Linked DNA regions of Schizosaccharomyces pombe. The protein of the gene in region 1 interacts with the protein of each later gene in a pairwise test. Each region holds a gene or a part of one and is shown in the gene's direction. Other genes may lie near its edges.

Region 1 (13,362 bases):
GCTGCGAAAGCGCAAAATCTTTAAACTGTTAGTAACAATATTTAAAACGATTGCTTTGCATACCATTTCGAAGCAAGAGTAAAGGTGAAGGATGAGCAAACTAAGCTTACGACTATGTAAGCTATTAAAATAGGTGAAGTGCAGCTTCGTTACATTTTTGAAAAATTCGTTAATAACAATAACGATTGAACAGACGCCGTAGTGTATATCTATATATGTATTACTTTAGGTCGTAATTCTCAAATAACGTAACAAAATTTTCAAAGAACTATCACAGGTATAACGAAAAATACACAATATGTCGGTTTAAAGTTGAAATATAGTTTTTAAATATCTAGTGTTGGTATGATTTAAATCCGACTAATAATTTAGATAATTGAATCTGCTAGAATTTACATTTGGTCAATTCCACTTGCTGAGTAGATGGTATTAATTTTCGGAATTGCGCACAGCTTGAAAATATGCATCCAATAGAAAGCATATCTATTGCATATTTTCAAAGAAATTTATTTTAAGCTAATTTAATTCGAATCAAAGCTGCATTTATTTTTTTTACAGGAAAAATGTAACTATGTTAAAGCTTGAAGCTCAATAATTTTATGCATTTCTGTTTGTTTATCATGGCTCACGATTGTAAGCATTACGATATGAAAAGTTGTAGATTTCAATTCTCTCAATTGATAATTGTTTATTAAATTCCTTTTCCTTAACAAGTTTATCAATATTGCTACCGTTTTGCGTGATTCTTCTCTAATATCTTTGCTAATTGAACGCTTGACATAGCTTGTGCTCCAATGGATCTTTACGTAGTCAGCACCAACTACAAAATTCTGTGGAAATAGCAATTGCAAAAATATCTGAAGAATTTTGTAGTTACATTCATTGTTATTTGTTTAAAAAAAATCTTAATTGCTTTGTAAAGAACTTCGAATCAGCTGTATTATCTTGTACTTTAAAAATATTGGGTCGCAAGATTACCAATCTCTTTCATGACATGTAAGCAATGCTGAAATGTACAATTAAAAATGAGCAAATCGAAACTTTAAGAAGCGGAGATACATTCGTCTCTTATGAAATTGAGACTGAATCGGATCTGCCAGTTTTTGAAGATAAAAAGTTCTCTGTTCGTCGGAGATATAAGGATTTTGAGATGCTTCATAATATTTTGAGCCATGATTATAATGGTTATGCAATCCCTCCGCTACCGAGAAAATATACTGTTAGTTCTTTCTCTGGTGGTTCATTATCTCCCATATTCATTGCTCGTCGAATGCAATCCCTCCAAACGTTTCTGGATCGATGCTCCACACACCCTGTAATTTCCAATTCTATGCATATGTATCAATTTTTGGAAAATAACTCTTGGAAATCTTATTATCATAACGCGTGGATGCAATCCGAAAACACTAAGTCCAAGGGCAATAACGTATCCGGAGGAATTGAATCATCAATTCAAAACTTAGACCCGTATGCTCAAAGCTTGTATGAAACAGCAAAACAGCTTCTCCAAAATGCGGATACGGATCTCTCAAAGTTGGAGAAAACCTGTGTTCAATACATGAATAGTGTTCAAAATTTTCCTACTGATATTCCTGTCCCTTCTAATTTAAGCATCAGTAACCTCGATGTTGTCTCTGTAGAATTTAAAAGACTAAAGAGAAACAGCATTTTTTTAATAAACTCTTTTCATTCTAAGGTAATTACATCTATTCAAGATTTGGAAGATTACATGGTGGTTTTTAAGAGTTTGATCAAATCTCGTGAACAAAAGGTGAAGCAATTTGAACATTTCCAACAAATCGTTCAATCTAACTCTAATAACCCTGATCAATCATCACGATCTGACCCAAACTTTGTAGAAGCCACTCCCGTTGTGCAGCAGACACCTGAGCTTAAACCGTCGCCCAACACTACTATACGTACCTCGAGTTTATTCAGTATTCCAAAATTTTTTAAAAAAAAGCGGTACTCATTAGGTCAAGACGATGCTAATCCCATGGAGTTGCTTCAATTATCGTTTCAAGAATTATGCATTTTCAACGAAAAACTTGAGCAAGAGTTAAATTTTCTACGCGAACGTATCGATGTTGAAATGCGTAAGACATTACAAATGGTTTGCGATTGTCATGTGGAATATTTTTCTGGTATTCTTGAGCAGCATGCCGTGAAGGAATAATAGTTCCTCGTTATTAACCTACTACTGTATAGAGGCTTTTGAGTTTTTAAGTAAGTGTTTTATAACTTGGCGTATGATGCTTTAACGTTTGTTTTACAATGTGTGATGTTTACGATATTTTTTATGCGACTTGAACTAATATTAATGAAAATTTACGAATCTGAGATTAATTTATTACTTTTTTATGCAGTCGAAAACATGACTTATTAATTTTCGTTAAATTTGCTCATGTTCTCAAATTAAAGTACAAGGAATGCAAAAATGTAATGACATTTCTATAATTCTTAGACAACTTTAAACTTCCCAACGTGGAATTGTTTCTTTCTTTGCTAAAGGAATGGATGATGTCTCCTTCGTACTTACTTCTTTCTGTTGTGCATAGATTTTATTTTGTTCTGAGCTTTAAAAAAATATAGCTCAGTAAAGAGGGATTATCAACAGTATAGGTTTTGTACTAACAATAAAATCTTCTGTGCCTTTTTTTAAGTATATGCATTTCCCTGTTCTGCTTTAATTTTATAAGATTATAGTCATCTCCGTCCGAAGGATGACAGTGATTTATATCTCAAACTATGCTTCTCAAACATGATTGATCTATATAATAATACAAGTAATTTCAATTGAGTGGTTTGAATTTTGCATTTTTGATGAGGACTTCACACACTACAATACTTTTTAGAAATAACTGATGGGTTCATTAAAGTTCTTCAATTCTCATTATTCGGTAGAAGTTGAAGATCTGTAAAATTTTTATAAGACTATAAAATGATGTCTATTTAAACAAATATTATCAGAGATTTACCATAACTGACATTAATAGGATAAAGATTATAAGTTAGCAGATATTCACTATGACTATTTGCCCAATAACATGTTTTGTTGAGATGTCTTGGTATTTCAAGTTAAATATACTGATGAAAATTGTTTTAGAAATATTCAATAATAAAGAAATTGTTATTATTGTAACATGAATTTAAACCATCACCTATCAGTACAAACGCAGCCCAACGCTTTACAAAGGGCTGCACGCTAACACTATGCTGGGAGTTTATAAAGTCATCATATATAATCATATCTTCGTCAGATGGGTTGGTAATCTTTGCAAGATAAATTTCCTTTCCCCTTCATGCAAATTCCTTAGAATTCACCTCACTCTGGTCAAAGAATATATTTTTTTGGATGCATAGTCTTTTCAAGCAGCTAGTTTTTTTCCTGGTAATGACGCTAACTGCAGCTGACAAGGCTGCATTTGATGCGGAATCCATGCTAGAAGCTCCTAGAAGGTCAGCAGTAGTTAGCAATCCTTTAGGGAATCTTGGAATATTTATAGAATCGAATTATTCCTTTGCTGATCACAAATATAACTCTGGAATTTACCTTTTGAATGAAAGCACTAGAAACCATCAAGAGCTTTTAGTACACGGCAAATCAAACAAAGCGCTCACATGGATTACTGATTCAGCTTTTTTATATGCAAGAGAAGATAATTCTAGCTCATCGAGTATCCTTCTTTTTGACGTTAACAATCGATCAGAGCGTATCATATATAATCATAACTCTTCAATATCTGATATAAGGATCGGAGAAAAGAACAACCACTATAGAATCGTTTTTAGTTCAGTGGATAATTCGTTAGTTAAGGGACCTTCAAATGTTCACGTATACGATCACTTGTTTGTTCGACACTGGGATAGATGGAACACAGGATCTAGGAATACCCTTTATTTTATAGAGCTAGATAAAAAAACGGAAAACTCAAATTATTTTGAAATTTCCTCAGAAAAAGCTATTGATTTGTTGAAGGAAACTGGCTTGGAATCTCCTGTCGAACCCTTCGGAGGTCTTTCTGACTTTGATTCTAACTACGACAAACTTGTCTTTGTAGCAAAAGACCCGAAATTAAATCCGGCAACACAAACAAAGACAGTTGTTTACGAGATTAATCTGAACACTCGGAATCTGAAGTCATTGAGCACTGCGAAGGGTGCATGCTCTTCACCAAGACTAGCCAAAGATGGAAATCATATTGCATGGCTTGAAATGCAAACACCACAGTACGAAAGCGATCAAAATCAAATAATGGTATATGAGTCCGAGTCAGGCGCTAAAAAGCACATTGCTCGTCATTGGGACCGATCGCCTTCCAGCATTGAATGGGGGGTTTTCAAAGGAGGCGAACCAGGTCTTTTTGCTATTGCTGAGAATTATGGGAAGCAAATTTTGTTTTTTGTTTCTATATTTCACCACCAAGTTATCCCAATGACAGAAGAACACTCTGTTTCTTCTATTAGTGTCCCTAAATCTTCTTCCTTATGGCTTACGAAGTCATCTTTAATCAATCCCCCTTATTACGCAAAGATTAACGTTGAAACGTTAAACGAAAGTGTTTTACTCGAGAACAATGTCGGATTATCGCCAACTTCTTATGAAGAAATTTGGTTTCCTGGCACTCATGGTCACAGAATTCATGCATGGATTGTAAAGCCCGAAAGTTTTGATAAATCTAAAAAATATCCTGTAGCAGTGCTTATACACGGGGGACCTCAAGGTTCTTGGACAGATAGTTGGTCAACGCGCTGGAATCCTGCAGTTTTTGCTAATGCTGGTTTTATTGTATTTGCTCTTGATCCTACTGGATCTACAGGTTATGGACAACGTTTTACCGATTCCATTGCTCTTGATTGGGGTGGTAAGCCATATAAAGATATTGAACTTGGTGTTGAGTACATAAAAAATCATCTTTCCTATGCTGATTCTGAAAAAATGGTTGCCTTAGGTGCTTCCTATGGTGGTTACATGATTAATTGGATTCAAGGACACCCTTTAGGTCGTCAATTTCGTGCACTTGTATGTCATGACGGGGTATTTAATACCCTCAATACTTTTTACAATACTGAAGAACTTTATTTTTCTATTCACGATTTTGGGGGTACTCCTTGGGAAAACAGAGTTATCTATGAGCGCTGGAATCCTTCAAATTTTGTGAATTATTGGGCCACTCCTGAACTTGTAATTCATAGCTCAAAGGATTACAGGCTTACCGAAAGTGAAGGAATAGCCGCATTCAATGTTTTGCAGTACAAGGGAATTCCTAGCAGATTACTAGTCTTTGAAGACGAAAACCATTGGGTCATTAAACCTGATAATTCCCTACGTTGGCATAAAGAAGTGCTTTCGTGGATTCTTCACTATACTAAAGATTGTAATGCCAATGAAGATGAAACGTTTTAGATTAATTTTAATAATACAACTACGATTATTTAATAAATTTTTTTTTGTTTCTCTCGATCTTTGTTAATTCTATTACCGCGGATAAAAAGTTGCAACCGCGGTTTATCCGAAGACATATCAAATTTAGATCTTTGCTGTAAGGGAAATCGAGTATTCACCGATCCAGCCATTCCTTAGCCAACATTGCATTAAATTTTTAGAGAGTCGATTTAGACTTGACTACCTTTAATTTACTTAATAATGCCGGAATACGAGATTCAGGTGCCTTCTTATAGAGCTGCTGCATTAACCGCCGAAGAACGTACACGATTACTTGCAAGACCCATTCAGAACACTCAAAAAATTCGTACGATTGTCCAACCGATAATCGAGGATGTTAAATCAAGAGGAGAAGCTTCTCTAATAGATTATGCTTCCAAATTTGAAAAGGTTCAATTGAAGTCGGCTGTCTTAAAGGCTCCGTTTGACGACGACTTAATGAAAATATCCCCAATGATTAAAGAGGATATTGATATTGCTTTTAACAATATTTTTGCTTTCCATTCATCACAGCTGCGTCCTACAATTGCTGTTCAAACCATGCGTGGTGTAGTCTGTCAACGGATGTCTCGTCCTATTAACCGAGTTGGTCTTTATATCCCTGGAGGAACTGCAGTGTTGCCATCTACTGCTTTGATGCTTGGAGTTCCGGCGAAGGTAGCTGGCTGTCCTCATGTAGTGATTTCTACGCCAGTCCGAAAGGATGGTACGGTTGCGCCTGAAATTGTATATATTGCAAATAAAATTGGTGCTGAGGCTATTATTTTGGCAGGCGGGGCGCAAGCAATTGCGGCCATGGCATATGGAATATCCGGTGTTCCTAAAGTTAACAAAATTTTTGGCCCTGGAAATCAATTTGTTACAGCTGCAAAGATGCATGTTCAGAATGATTACGGGGCTTTAGTTGCTATTGATCTTCCTGCTGGTCCCTCAGAAGTTTTGGTAATAGCAGATGAGACCTGTAATCCTGAAAGTGTTGCCTTGGATTTATTGTCTCAAGCAGAGCATGGTTTGGACAGTCAGATCATTTTGCTGACTGTCTCTCTATCTCCCGAAATGTTTGACCGTATTCAAAAAGCAATTAATGATCACGCTTTACGACTTTCTCGTTCGTATATCATCAAACATGCTATCAAGAAGTCGGTTATTGTACAGGTTGACAATGTTGATCAAGCTTTTGAATGGTCTAATTTGTATGGTCCTGAGCACTTGGTCTTGCACTTAAAAAATGCTTCTTCATACATTCCCAAAATAGATAATGCTGGTAGCGTTTTCGTTGGTCCTTGGTCACCTGTAAGTATGGGTGACTATGCGTCTGGTACCAACCATACGCTTCCTACATACGGGTACGCCTCTTCTTATTCTGGCGTTAGTACCGATAGCTTCTTAAAATATATCACTACCCAAGAGCTCACTGAAGAAGGAATCCAGCGGTTGGGCCCTACTGTTATTCGTCTTGCTGAGTTGGAGGGTCTCACTGCGCATGCCGATGCTGTTCGTGTTCGGGGAGTTAGACTTTGAAAGGGGTTTCCTTTTTACGTATACCTAATTAAGGATTCGGCTTAAAATAAAATTTGTGTTTGGTACTAAATTTGACAAAGTATTTTTAGGTTATGATTTATTTTATTTTATTTTATATTTTTCAATTTAATTTTAATAGTATGAATGGGCATCCAATATACTGAGTAATTATCCATTAATTCAACCTGAAGTTAGTTGGTGTCGCGTCGCGTGTCTCGACTTTTTTCTAGTGAAAACGAACATTCCCTTTAACCAAACCTGCAATTAAGCGTTACGGGAATTTTAACGGAAACGATCATTAAATAATGAGTTATTCAGTTTCAGCTGCTCAATTATGGTCTCGCAAGTTGGCAATGCAAGCCGAAGATATGCAACAGCATCAAAAGTCACAGAGCAATCAAATTGCTAGTTGTTTGGCTGAAATGAATACCAAACAAGAGGTAGTTAATCAAACGATCGGTCAACTAGGACGATCTATTAGTGAAGTCCAACAACAAAATTCTCAACTAGGTAAGTGAGATTTAGAATTTCCCAAGTGGTTGGAAGTCTGACTTAATAGTACTACAATCTTTGAATCAAATAAACATGTCTATGCAGCAAGTGGCCTTAGGGATTCAAGATTATGCCAGTCGTATCAATAAGTTGGAACAGACCATGTCAGATATGAATTTGAAATTTGAAGCTTTACAAAAAGAACAGAACAGTAATACAAAAACACTAGCTGATTGCACAAGCCAGATGACTATAATCACTAAAAAGCTAGATGCAGAGCTGAAAAAGCGTTATATGACTACTAAACAAACACGAACAGTACAAAATCAAACTATGCCCAGAAGTAATACAACAACGAAAAAGCGAGTACTGGCTATTGATTTCTTAGCAGATGACGATTATTAAAATACTTAGATCAGCCTCATTTAAAAGCTTTTCTATGATATCAATTAAAATTAAACACCAATCAAACCGTTTTTTCATAGTGAGCGATGCAATATATTCACTTTCAGCACATATTAAACTTGCCTAAACGCTGTTAGTATGCAATGAGCAAAAACTGTTGATAGACTTATGAAAGCCCAAATGATTGAATACTAAAACCCCTTGAGTTTACAAAGATTTCTCAGAATGAATTAGCTTGGTCACCGAGCAGAACTCTCAGACGGCACTTCCTATATAAAATGTTAAGCTTCTTCTTTTGTCATCACAATAGAATTCAAGGAATTTTCAGTTTCTTTCATTTTTGAATACCTACCTAGTTGAAATTTTTTATAGACAGTCCTTTTTAAAAAACTTCAAAGATTTTTACGAAATTATCTATATGCACTAATATAGCTGTTTTCAGCGTTGATGGCACTACGTACGTTTAGCGGTTTGCCAAATTTATAGCTTCGAAACAACGTGACGGCTTTTATCAACTATACGAGAGTCGAGCTTATTAAACATAAGCTTTCGTTAAAAAAAAAAGATAAAAGCATGAATAAAGCTACATATTGTGATTTATGGATTGGTTTACTGGTTTTGCTCAAAATCATAGTAAAAGGGTAGTTTCCTATTGTTGTGTAATCGATAACTTTTTCTAACATTTTGCCCTTCTAAAACAACTTTTCATATTATAAGCTATTCGTTTTACTGTTTAAGTTTCAGTCCAAAAATTAAGACTAATTTAAGAAGAGAAAATTATAGGTGACTATTTGTTTCCTTGTGTTCGTTTGTTGTATAGCGAACTTTATAGATTACAGCAGTTAGAGCTGCGGCAAATTAGTTGACTTGTGTTCTTTGCAACATTAAACGAAAACAGCAGGCAATACACAAATATACGTCCGTAGCATTTATCGTACAAACTTTCTAACGAAGCTAGTATTGCAATTTTTCTCCATATAAAAATTCAATAAAATTAATTAATAAAATTCAAAGTATTGTTTTGTGTTTATTCAATCTTGAAATCATTTAAAAGTTAAGTAAAAACCAAAAATTCCAAACTCCATCTTAATGTGATGCTTCTGACACTCATATTGTTACCGCCCTTTTAATTCACTCAACTTAGTATTCTTATGCAACGTACTGTTAGAAGTGTTTACACTGTGTTGCGTGCGACTGATTTTATATGTTGGAAACAAATTTTAAGATCCATTAATTTTACTTAGACACCAGTGAGAACAAATACAAATATTAGAAAGACTAAAAAATTTAGTGACCGATGCTATTAGATTTCTCAAATAAATATTGTTATGTCAGCAATACTACACTACGCTATGATACACTACTTGCGTATCACTATATGTCACATGTTCTAATTATATATCGTACCATGTATGATACGATATTGAGATTGATCTTAATGATGATCTATTAAGATCTATATTATCTGAATAATATAAATAGAGCTACTGCTGAACTGAGGAACGAGGTTCAGTTATGAGCTATATTAGTGATAGGTAACATTATAACCCAGTTAATACAATACCTATTCTCAGTTGCTACTTATACAACCTGTGTATTGTAATATAATAGATCACAAGGAAAACTCACCGCAGTTCTACGTATCCTTAAATCAGATACCAAACTGCGTAGCTTACATGTTAGTTAGTTTAACATACCGCATACCGTTACATCGTAGCTCGTAAGAAATACTCGCCGTAGTTCAATGTATCATTAAACAGATACCAAATTGCGTAACTGACATTAACTTGAATTTACGATGAGTAAAAATACTTGTTGACGTAAATTAAGTTAACGCATTTAGTTTATCTACATGAACGTTATGGCCTTTTGGTCGAAGAAAAATGTTTTCTTAAGTTTTGAAATCTAATTTAACGCAGGTTTACGCTAAACGGTTAAATAACGTTTTTTGTAAGACACGAATATTTTCAGTTCTTCTTTTCCCAAGTAGCGGTGCACGATTTATGCCATTATTTACTCGTATCAATACGTTGACATTTACTTAATCTTTAAATTTTTAATCTCGTTTAGATCAAGAGTGGTGTGTTTTCTGGTTTAAACATTAAAGTAAAGATTTGCGGAGTAAATATTAAGAGAGGTGCAACATGTCAATAGTCTCGTCTGTGGCTTTTGTTCCTCGCGGTTATGCATCAGAGTTTCCCAAGAGTTACGATATTGATGAGATAGAGTATGAGCGAATTAATCAGCTTTCAAAGTTAAAGCTCGAGGATGCTCGAGCTGATCTCCAATCTTCTATGGAAGACTCAAATAAAGCCAATGGGAACGGTGAAGAAACTACAGATGGAGCAGAAGGGGTGTTGCAAACAAGTGAAGAGGTAGATGATGAATTGAAAGTATACAATTTGGATACTTACGATGACGATGAGGAGGAAGCTGAGACAGAAGGGCCCGCTGCTATGTTTAGCAACATTCGTGGATTGGCTTACCATGAAAATGGAGAAAAAGATCCATATATCACTATTGATCCTCAGGAACAGGACGATTTGGAAAGAGAGGAAATGCAAATATTACCAACAGACAGCCTTTTGCTAGCTGCGCGCACAGAAGATAACTTGTCCCACGTTGAAGTGTATGTATATGAGCCAACAGAGGAAAATCTTTACGTGCATCATGATTTTCTTCTCCCTACCTTTCCTCTGTGTCTCGAATGGCTAGATTATAAGGTGGGTACGTCTGACAACGCTCCTGGAAATTACGTTGCTGTCGGCACGTTTGATCCTGAAATTGAAATATGGGATTTAGACATCATTGATGCAGTTTACCCTGCAGCCGTGTTGGGTGCAGGTGCCTCTCAAGTCAACAAGAAAAAGAAGAAGTCTAAAAAAATAAATGATAGTTATCACACAGATGCTGTTCTTGCTCTTTCTTCGAACCGAAATGCTCACAATCTTTTGGTTTCTGGTTCTGCAGATACCACACTAAAGTTGTGGGATTTGAGCACATGCAATTGTGTCAAATCTTTCACGTATCATTCTGACAAAGTTTCTTGCTTAGATTGGTATTCCAAAGCTCCATCCGTATTATTGTCAGGTAGTTATGATAAAACTGCAAAAATAGCTGACCTTCGCCTTGAAGAAGCTCCATCGAGTTTTCAAGTTACTAGCGATGTTGAAAATGTTGCCTGGGATCAACATAGCGAAAACAACTTTTTCATTGGCACTGATAATGGCATAGTTTATTATTGCGATGCTAGAAATCTCTCAAAGTCCGTTTGGCAATTGCAAGCCCATGATGGACCTATTTCTTGTCTCAGTGTTAATCCTTCGGTTCCTTCTTTTGTAGCCACAGGCTCCACTGATAGAGTGGTTAAACTCTGGAACACTTCCGATAGTTCACCGAAGATGGTTGTTTCTAGAGATTTGGATGTTGGACGTGTGTTTACTTGCTCCTTTACTACGGACGAATCAACTGCTTTCCATCTAGCTGCCTCCGGAAGCAAAGGAGTCGTTCGTGTCTGGGACACTGCAACTAATCCTGGTGTTCGAAAAGCGTTTGAAAGTAGAGTTACTGAGGAAGTTACTAAAAAAGAGCGCATCGTTCAGTTAGAAGACAGAGGTGCCGGGGAGGACTCTTCTGATGATGATGACTATGAAGATATAGAAGACGATGATGATCAAGATGCTGAGATGTCCTAATTCTCTTGATTTATTTTAAGATTATAGCTTCATGTTTTCAAAAACTCTCCTAAGAGGCCGCTTCATGGGTTTAAAGGGCTCACTAATTGTATAGAGGATTTTTTGCATAATTCAATATTTGGAAAAAAGGGATCAGGTTAGTTACAATAAATTTCATTTGATTTGGTGTATGATGGTCTTTAAACTTTAGTAAATTCATCCACATTAGTGGAGTAGCAAATGTATGCATTAAGTGTATATTGGGTTTACCGTTACTTGGTAAATTTTGCCTAACAATTCTTTTAATTCATATGACAATTTTTATTTAAACATTGAAGTACTGATAAATTGTTAATTGTCAATTACTCAGGTTCATGATTTTGCACCTTTGGGGGGCCGGAGGGTCTGAGTAAGTTCGCCTTCCGCCAGCAACCTTATTGATTTAGTAGGTATGCTTTCACATAATCAAAATGATTTGCTATTTACGAAGTTAATAGATAAATTAACTGATTATATGTCCAGTAAAGATGCAGCTACATCGCTTGCCAGTCGAGTTTTGACAATTGCCAAGGGTAGCTCGTCCAGCACCGAGTTTTCTAATGCATTACATACATTTGGACGATTTTCCGATAATGACAGCGTCCTTATTTACGATTTATGCAAATCTATAATTGGTTTAGAGACAAATTTGGGGATTTCTAAAGATAAACTTCCTGGGAATGATGGGTCTCAGGTAGCTGGATTAGTTTTGTCTAATCGTTCTGGTTTGAAAGGCCGAGAACCCAAAAAATCCCAGCTTGGATTGGATGTTCTTGCTGTTCAAAAAAAGAAAGAGAAATCTCAAGTAGAAGGGCGCTCTGAATTATCCCAAGTAGAAAATGATTCCTTGGAGTCTATAGGAAACTATGACAGGGTGGAATTTAAGAGACCTAAAAATCCACATGAAAAACATTTTCGTCCCCTTCGTCAACGGTCATCTGTTGACGATCATCAAGAGTTTGAAAGTGAAGATGATAAATATCGTAGAAATTCTTATTCTAGCTGGTCTGGAAGTAATTTCGAGTCTTCCAATGGATCTAATCGTCGGCGGTATCGAACTCAAATGGAAGAACCTTTATCCTCAAAACGCAGAAATCGGTTTGGTAATGGTTCTCGAAGAGACGTCGATAGCTCTAAATATTCGCACGATAGTGATTATTCTTATGGTGCACACAGCTCTTGGGATGCCCGCGACGTTGAGTACCCCGAAGAAGATCCCGAGAGTAAAGCTGATCGTCAACGTTGGGAAGAGGAGCAAGCTCACTTGGATCGTGATTGGTACATGAATTCCGAGTCGCAAAATTTACTTGGCGATGAAGTTCACAATCCATTCTCCGATTTTGAAACTGTCGAAGATCGTGCACATGAAGCTGAGTTTATCGAAAAGCAGAAAAAGCATTTGTCAATTGAAGCATCAGACAGATTTAAAGAAAATTCTATGTGGGAAAAAAATAGAATGATCACATCTGGTGTTTCAAAAGCTCCAGGGCTCGAATCTGATTACTCCCTTATGGAAGAGAGGCGTGTTCACTTGCTTGTCGATGAACTGCGTCCTCATTTTTTGGATGGGGCCGAATTTTCTTCTAAGAAAGTCGGTGATATTACATCGGTTCGAGATCCACAAAGCGACCTTGCAATAAATGCTAGATTAGGATCTCGTCTTGTACGTGAACGAAGAGAATTTCGGGAGCGTCAAAAAGCAGCAAGTGCTGCTACATCCCTTGCTGGTACATCTTTGGGTAACGTGATGGGTCTCAAAGATTCTAATGATGAAGATGCCAAGGC
Region 2 (6,176 bases), 1.6 Mb from region 1:
GAAAAACGCGATATTCAATTTCTAGAAAACGACAAGTTGGACCTGAATTCTCATGAGAACGAAGGCGAAAAAACTAAAACTGAAACAGTACCTACGCGTAAACAGTTTCCAAAAGTTGGAGAATTTAACTCCGCAATACACGGTCTTTCTTCGGAAAGTGTTTTGAGAACATGTTTTCGTGTAGGAGAAGTCTTAGCAGTATTCAGGATGAAACGAAGAGATGTATGCATTATAGTTGAATTTTTTGGTAAGGTCTATTATGTTTGCTCTCAATATATGTTGGTTTTATTGCATAAAAATGAAATCTAACGTTATAGCAAAAGTGCGCTCTGCAAAAAAAGTCGGCAATGTCATCCTCTACTACTTTGAAGACGCATTTCGTGGACAAAAATCACCAGCGATATTTGCTAAATATTACTCATGTTGCGAAATATCGCCTCTTTTAACTAAACCGGCAACTATGATCAGAGTGGTTGGAATCGTCTCTCATGCCGAAAAGATTTTAAAAGTGATACACATAGCTAGCTCGGATTTAGATGAATTATGGGACACTTACAATATGGTGCTCTACGAAACTTTATAGATTATCATCTATATATGATCATATTCACAAAAGATAAGTAAATATCTCTGAAGAACCAATAATCAAGCTTTAGAATCACAACTGAAAAAAATGGGCTAACGGATAATACACAATACGTTATCAGCATAGGAGCATACTGCAAAGTCAGTAAAGACAAATGCTCCGTAGATGAAAACAATTGACCGCACGAATATCATATAACAAAAAAGACTTGTCATCAAGTTTGTAAATCTGAATTGGGCGAATCTATGTAAGCGCTGAGCAAACAATTAGGGAAATTTGGAACGGGCGTCATTCAAAGTGAAAGGTTTTTAAGAGGATGCAATGGGGTAACTTAGACGTATTGAGCAAGCCACTTGAAGCCTTCGCCATAACCTTGGCGAAGGACCACCGAGCACATGAATACTTCGATAGGTCGGATTCCAGGAACGGGTTTAGACACGCCCTTACCAGTGGTCTGATAAAGTCCAAGGGCCGCCTTGAGTTCATCTTCAGAAATAGCACCAGGGGCATCGATTTTATTGCCAAGAATCAAAAAGGGGACGCGAGCAAGTTCTTCCATGGCCAATAAGGCATCTAGTTCGGCCTTTGATTCAGAAAGGCGTTCAAAGTCACAGCAGTCAACCAAGTAAACAATGCCATTAACCTCGGGGAAATAATCTCTCCACAAGCGGCGAGCTATAAGAAAATTAGTAAAAATACATAAAATCAGATAGAGAATCCAAAATCATAGAAGAAATTGCAAAGAAAAAACAAAGATCATGAGAACAAAACGGCCCACTGATAAACTAGCCAACGACATATGAGACGATATAGAAATTCAAACAACTTTATACAAAAAAGAATTTTAAGCGAAAAAAAATTAATTATTCTAAAGACATTCCAACTCTTACAAAATCTCCATGATTTAGAAAAACAACTCTGTGACTACATACCCTGTTGATGACCTCCCAAATCGAAAGTAGTAAATCGAACGTTGCCAATAGCCAGTTCTTCTGAAGTAGGATGTAAAGTTGGTTGCATTACAGCTAAACGGTCATTCTAAATAATTAGTATAAGGATAATCAAGGAGAGTAGAAGTCAAACATACTTTCAGCATGTGTAGCAAGGTGGTCTTTCCGGCGTTATCTAAACCCAAAAACAGCATCTTGGCATGCTTGTTGACAAGACCAAGCATGGCAAGAGCATCGTAGAACCAGTTAATGATAAACATTGGTGTAAGATGGATGGATTTTCTGAAAACCTGTTATGCTCAGTGTGTTGGTGGTTGGCAAGAGATGACTTACCTCATGCCTAGTTATACTAATTTTCTCTAGGTAACCGAAAATAAGTAGTTAAAGAAAATATTTAATTAATGTACGTATGAAATGAAACTGAATAATTACATATAGTTCAAATTTGGAAGCTTCTCTATGCTTTTTTCTAGTAGTAAGTATGAAGAGAACGATTTTGGCGATTTCTAATTTACATGTTTACGTTTGCTTAAATTAACTATTAATGAATTCGTCTCAATACAATTTCTTTCGGTTTGAAAAGAATAAAGGATGATAGCTTTCAGCTTTTCGTTTAAATAAAATTCGACTAGTAATTTACCATTTCTAAAATTTGTAACTATAAACATGTTATGTATTTGCACTACGCTCAGTTAATAACAGGGCGCAATAGACAAATTGAGAAAAACGGTAAATAAATGTATAAAAGAATTGAATGAATAAAACAATGCACACTTACAACAGTTGGGTTAGAATTACAAAAAAAAAAAATTCACGTAGGCTAACTGTTTTTAATATTAGCTTTTGAGATTAGAAGTAACTTTAATTTCTAAAAGTTTTCTGGATTTCTTTTTTTATAAATCTTACAAATTGTGACATCGGCCTTTCGTAGTTTATAGATATATTATACGAATATATATACATATATTTTTGTTTCTATGTATACGGTGGGTGATACAGGAATTTGTGTTTTATATTTAAAACATATAAATTCAATAATACTCATTTATTCAAAAAAATTTTTTTTTAAGCTAGTTTTTTTCATAATAAGTTGTTAATAACTATCATTTAATTATTACTTAATATTATTCCGGCATACAGAATTAGTAAATATCAGCTGAGAATCTATATCTACAGGATATTTTGCTAGCAAATAAATTAACAAAAATTGCATAATCTTCTCTAAAATTCAAGCATCAATTTTCGGGTTAATTTATGATCTTTTTCATTCTTCATTTCGTTAATTATTTTTGTATCACAACTTTGGAACGTAGTGTAATATGATATTCTTTATCTATACGACACACACCAAAATCCTTCTTCTTTTTGCAAATATAGACAACTTTTCTATTCGATAGCTTTAAAACTTCATAAAATTTTACTTGAAAGAACAACCAGAAGGTACTACTTTCGTTTATTGGAAGGTCCGTTTACAATCGATTGAAAATTATTCCTTGCTGCTATATATTTTCAGACTTTAATTTGTTCCATCAAGCCATCAAACACTCAAGCTATCATTATCTCAGTGAATAATTAAAATCACTATTTCATCTTATTTATAATGGGAATTTTCAGTGAAACAGTTCCAATTACTGCTGTCACCACTTATATCGATCGTTTAACCTCTAGAGATACCGACGATGAGGATTTGTCTGGTATCGTTCAATTATCTGAAGCCGTTAATTTAACTGTTACTGGTCCGCGAGAGGCTTCTCGTACCCTTCGTAAGAAGTTAAAGTACAGTACACCTCATGAACAAGTTCGGGCACTTGTTATTCTCCAGGCTTTAATTGAAAATGCTGGCTCTCATTTTTTACAAAATTTCTCAGACGAAAAATTGGAAGACCGAATGTTGCAATGTGCAACAAATTCTGAATATTCTAAACCCGTTCGTAAGCGTGCTATCCATATGATCAAACTTTGGCACAATGACTATTCTAATGTTCGTGGAATGGAAAGCATGAGTAGTTTAGTATCTCGACTTCCTCAACGACAATCATCTGCTTCGCATTCTGAACAACCCACTATCAATCTTAAAAAGGTTGGTCCAATTTTAGAAAGATTGATAGCCTCTTCCAGCATGGCTGCTACCAATCTTTCTAATAGCCTTGTCCGAATCAATCCTAACACAGAAAATCCGGCCAAAAACAAGCAAATCATGGTTTATTATGTGGATTGTAAACGTGCTCATCGCTCCTTGTTGCGCTACATACAAGCTATTCAAGACGAGATGTGGTTAGCCAATCTCTTGAAGGCAAACGATGAAATTGTGACAGCCATTGATGCATTCAAGGAAAAATGCTCCGAAAACTCAGATTATAGTTCAGATAGTGGATCCTATAGTTCTTCATATTCTCGTCACCTTGATGATCGGGCTTCTTACATATCTCGCTCGAGTAGCGGAGGTTCTAATGCTCAGAGATCAGAAGATTTGGATGTAAACAATCCTTTTGGCGATCATAATCGTTTGGAATAATTAATAAGCTTTCCTTTTTAATGGATTTGAATACCTAATTAATTGGTAATGATCGATTGATATCAAGGGGTGCGAAGGTTAAAAAGCATTTCATCTTGCCTTCAACATCTTCTTAATGATTCTACCTTCCATCTCTTTAATATGAGTGCCTTATTTATCTTGGACAATTATAATTTTTTAAGATTATGAGTCTTTTAGTTGGGTCATGCACTAGATATATATTACTGTATTCGACTTATTAGATACAATCCCTTTTTAGTCAACCTTTTAGCAACCGTGCGCCTTTGTTTATATTATTGCCAATTTTATTGCGTTTAACTGATAAGGTGTTTAATTAATTTATTTTTTTTGCACACTAGTTGTAGTCAATCTTTGTAAGTAACGCGCTTTAAAAAATGTTTTCTTTTAATTAACATAATTTAAAAAGTAAAGTTGTTTTCGAGATATCTAAAGCCATTATAGTATACCGTCCATCTCAAAAAAGCAGCACAACATTATTTATGTAAAATGGATGCATACATGCTTAATTTTAACCGTCAAATAATACAAAAAACAAATACATAACATTTTAACCAATTAAATAGAGAATTTGGTATCCTAAATTTGTAGCCACTTAAAAGGCATTCGTTCGTGAGTTTGTTTGTTTACATTCCATACCATACTACTAAGACAACAACCAAAGTGAATGGGTAATTCAAGACTAAAAGAAAAGAGGATCACGGAAATTAATTAAAAATGGAAAATTATACCAAATCCACAACCATGTGTGGAAAAAGAAAACCAACATTTGAGATTTATCGGGAAAGCGACTTTTCCAAAATAACAAATCAAGGAACTGTGACAGCGTTTGACATTATTTCAAATAAGGAAACATTTTCTGAAAGTAAACAATTAAAGAAAGCTAAGTCTCGAAACGTTACTTTAGTAGATAAGAATACAAAAGCCGATAAAAGATACAAAAGTGAGAAGCTATCAGATTACCTTCTTAACCAAGAACACCATAAAAACTCTCCGAAAATCATCAATGATGTGCTTGTTATAGGAAAAAGTGATGGTTTAATAAACTCGTTTCCATTAAGCCAAAATTATATATCTTCCAGTGAAAGCCAAACATCCTCTGGTAATGTCGATATTATTGGCAATGATAACTCACATGCATCTCCTTATTTACCCAAGTTTGAGCTAAAATCACAAAGTCAGTCCAACCATTCGAACGTTGTAAAAAACCAACCGATCAAATTGTGTAAAAAAACTGAGGGAGGTACTAATCTCGACCATAATAAATCAATAAATGGAGCCGTGAAATCAGGGACATCAAAATCAGCAAACAAAGACAGAATTTATGTTTTCTACGTAAGCAAATAATTTTTTGTAAAGGAATTTAAGCTAACAAGTTTTGGGTCAAGGAAGATGAAGAAGTGATGGAGTATCGTTACATATTTGGATCTCGTATGCAAACGAAAAATCATGATATCAATGCAAATAACAAAAGAAAAATTTTCTATCAAAACTCATTTTCGAACTTTCATTTGCTCCATAAAATTATACAGCCGAATTATGAACCTGCGTCAGCTGAGGAACGAAAGTTGTGCATTGAAATTTTAGATGAAGTTTTACAGTACTAGTTAATAATTCAGAATTTCCCCTTTTTAATTCAATGATAGATACTGTAGGTAAGCAGGTAGCTGAATTATCGGTAAGAGTTGTACGCTTTTTCATACCTCAAAAAAATCCGAAATCATTAATTTTGACTATGGTGCAATCATGAAACTGTAGATTCGACTTTTCCCTCGTTTAAAATTTTATCAACCACACTTGATACCTCAGGATAAGCCTGTTTAATTTCTTCGGCAAAAGCCTTTTGAAATCCCTCTATAGCATATAGCTTCCCGTTGACATACTGATTATCTTTTTGAACCAATTCACTGAATTGTCTAGCATATACATCTGGATTTCGACCTTGTTCAATATATTCCAAGACGTCTTGAGGGATTAAGTTATTCACCTTTCTAGATATGTCAGGAAGAGATTTGAGATCTCTGATAAGAGTATCAAGGCTTTCAGGAATGGCATCAGATGGAGTAGTATCTTCAAGGTTATAAACGATCAATGCCAAGTCATAAAA

Evidence for each region.
Region 2: the proteins of rec15 (region 1) and mde2 interact in a two-hybrid assay, tested with the Schizosaccharomyces pombe proteins (one study listed by BioGRID).

Annotation. Positions count from the first base shown.
Region 1 is NC_003423.3:2,154,270-2,167,631, forward strand, and holds rec15 (meiotic recombination protein Rec15), read left to right. Parts: upstream 1-7,217; 5' UTR 7,218-7,272; coding exon 7,273-7,477; exon of another isoform or gene 7,478-7,526; coding exon 7,527-7,864; downstream 7,865-13,362. Other genes in the region: ubiquitin ligase complex subunit Npl4, read right to left, coding at 1-18, 64-66; atg2402 (autophagy associated protein), read left to right, coding at 1,004-2,176; ppp16 (acylpeptide hydrolase), read left to right, coding at 3,356-5,407; histidinol dehydrogenase His2, read left to right, coding at 5,648-6,967; SPOM_SPBC1711.15C (uncharacterized protein), read right to left, coding at 7,844-7,942; pwp1 (WD repeat protein), read left to right, coding at 10,009-11,559; ATP-dependent RNA helicase Prp16, read left to right, coding at 11,990-13,362. UniProt on the Schizosaccharomyces pombe protein: Required during the early stages of meiosis for meiotic recombination.
Region 2 is NC_003423.3:3,760,034-3,766,209, forward strand, and holds mde2 (protein Mde2), read left to right. Parts: upstream 1-4,786; coding exon 4,787-5,404; exon of another isoform or gene 5,405-5,457; coding exon 5,458-5,676; downstream 5,677-6,176. Other genes in the region: protein mug37, read left to right, coding at 1-247, 318-583; ADP-ribosylation factor Sar1, read right to left, coding at 918-1,261, 1,519-1,624, 1,674-1,796; protein lsb5, read left to right, coding at 3,137-4,051; mediator complex subunit Med10, read right to left, coding at 5,814-6,176.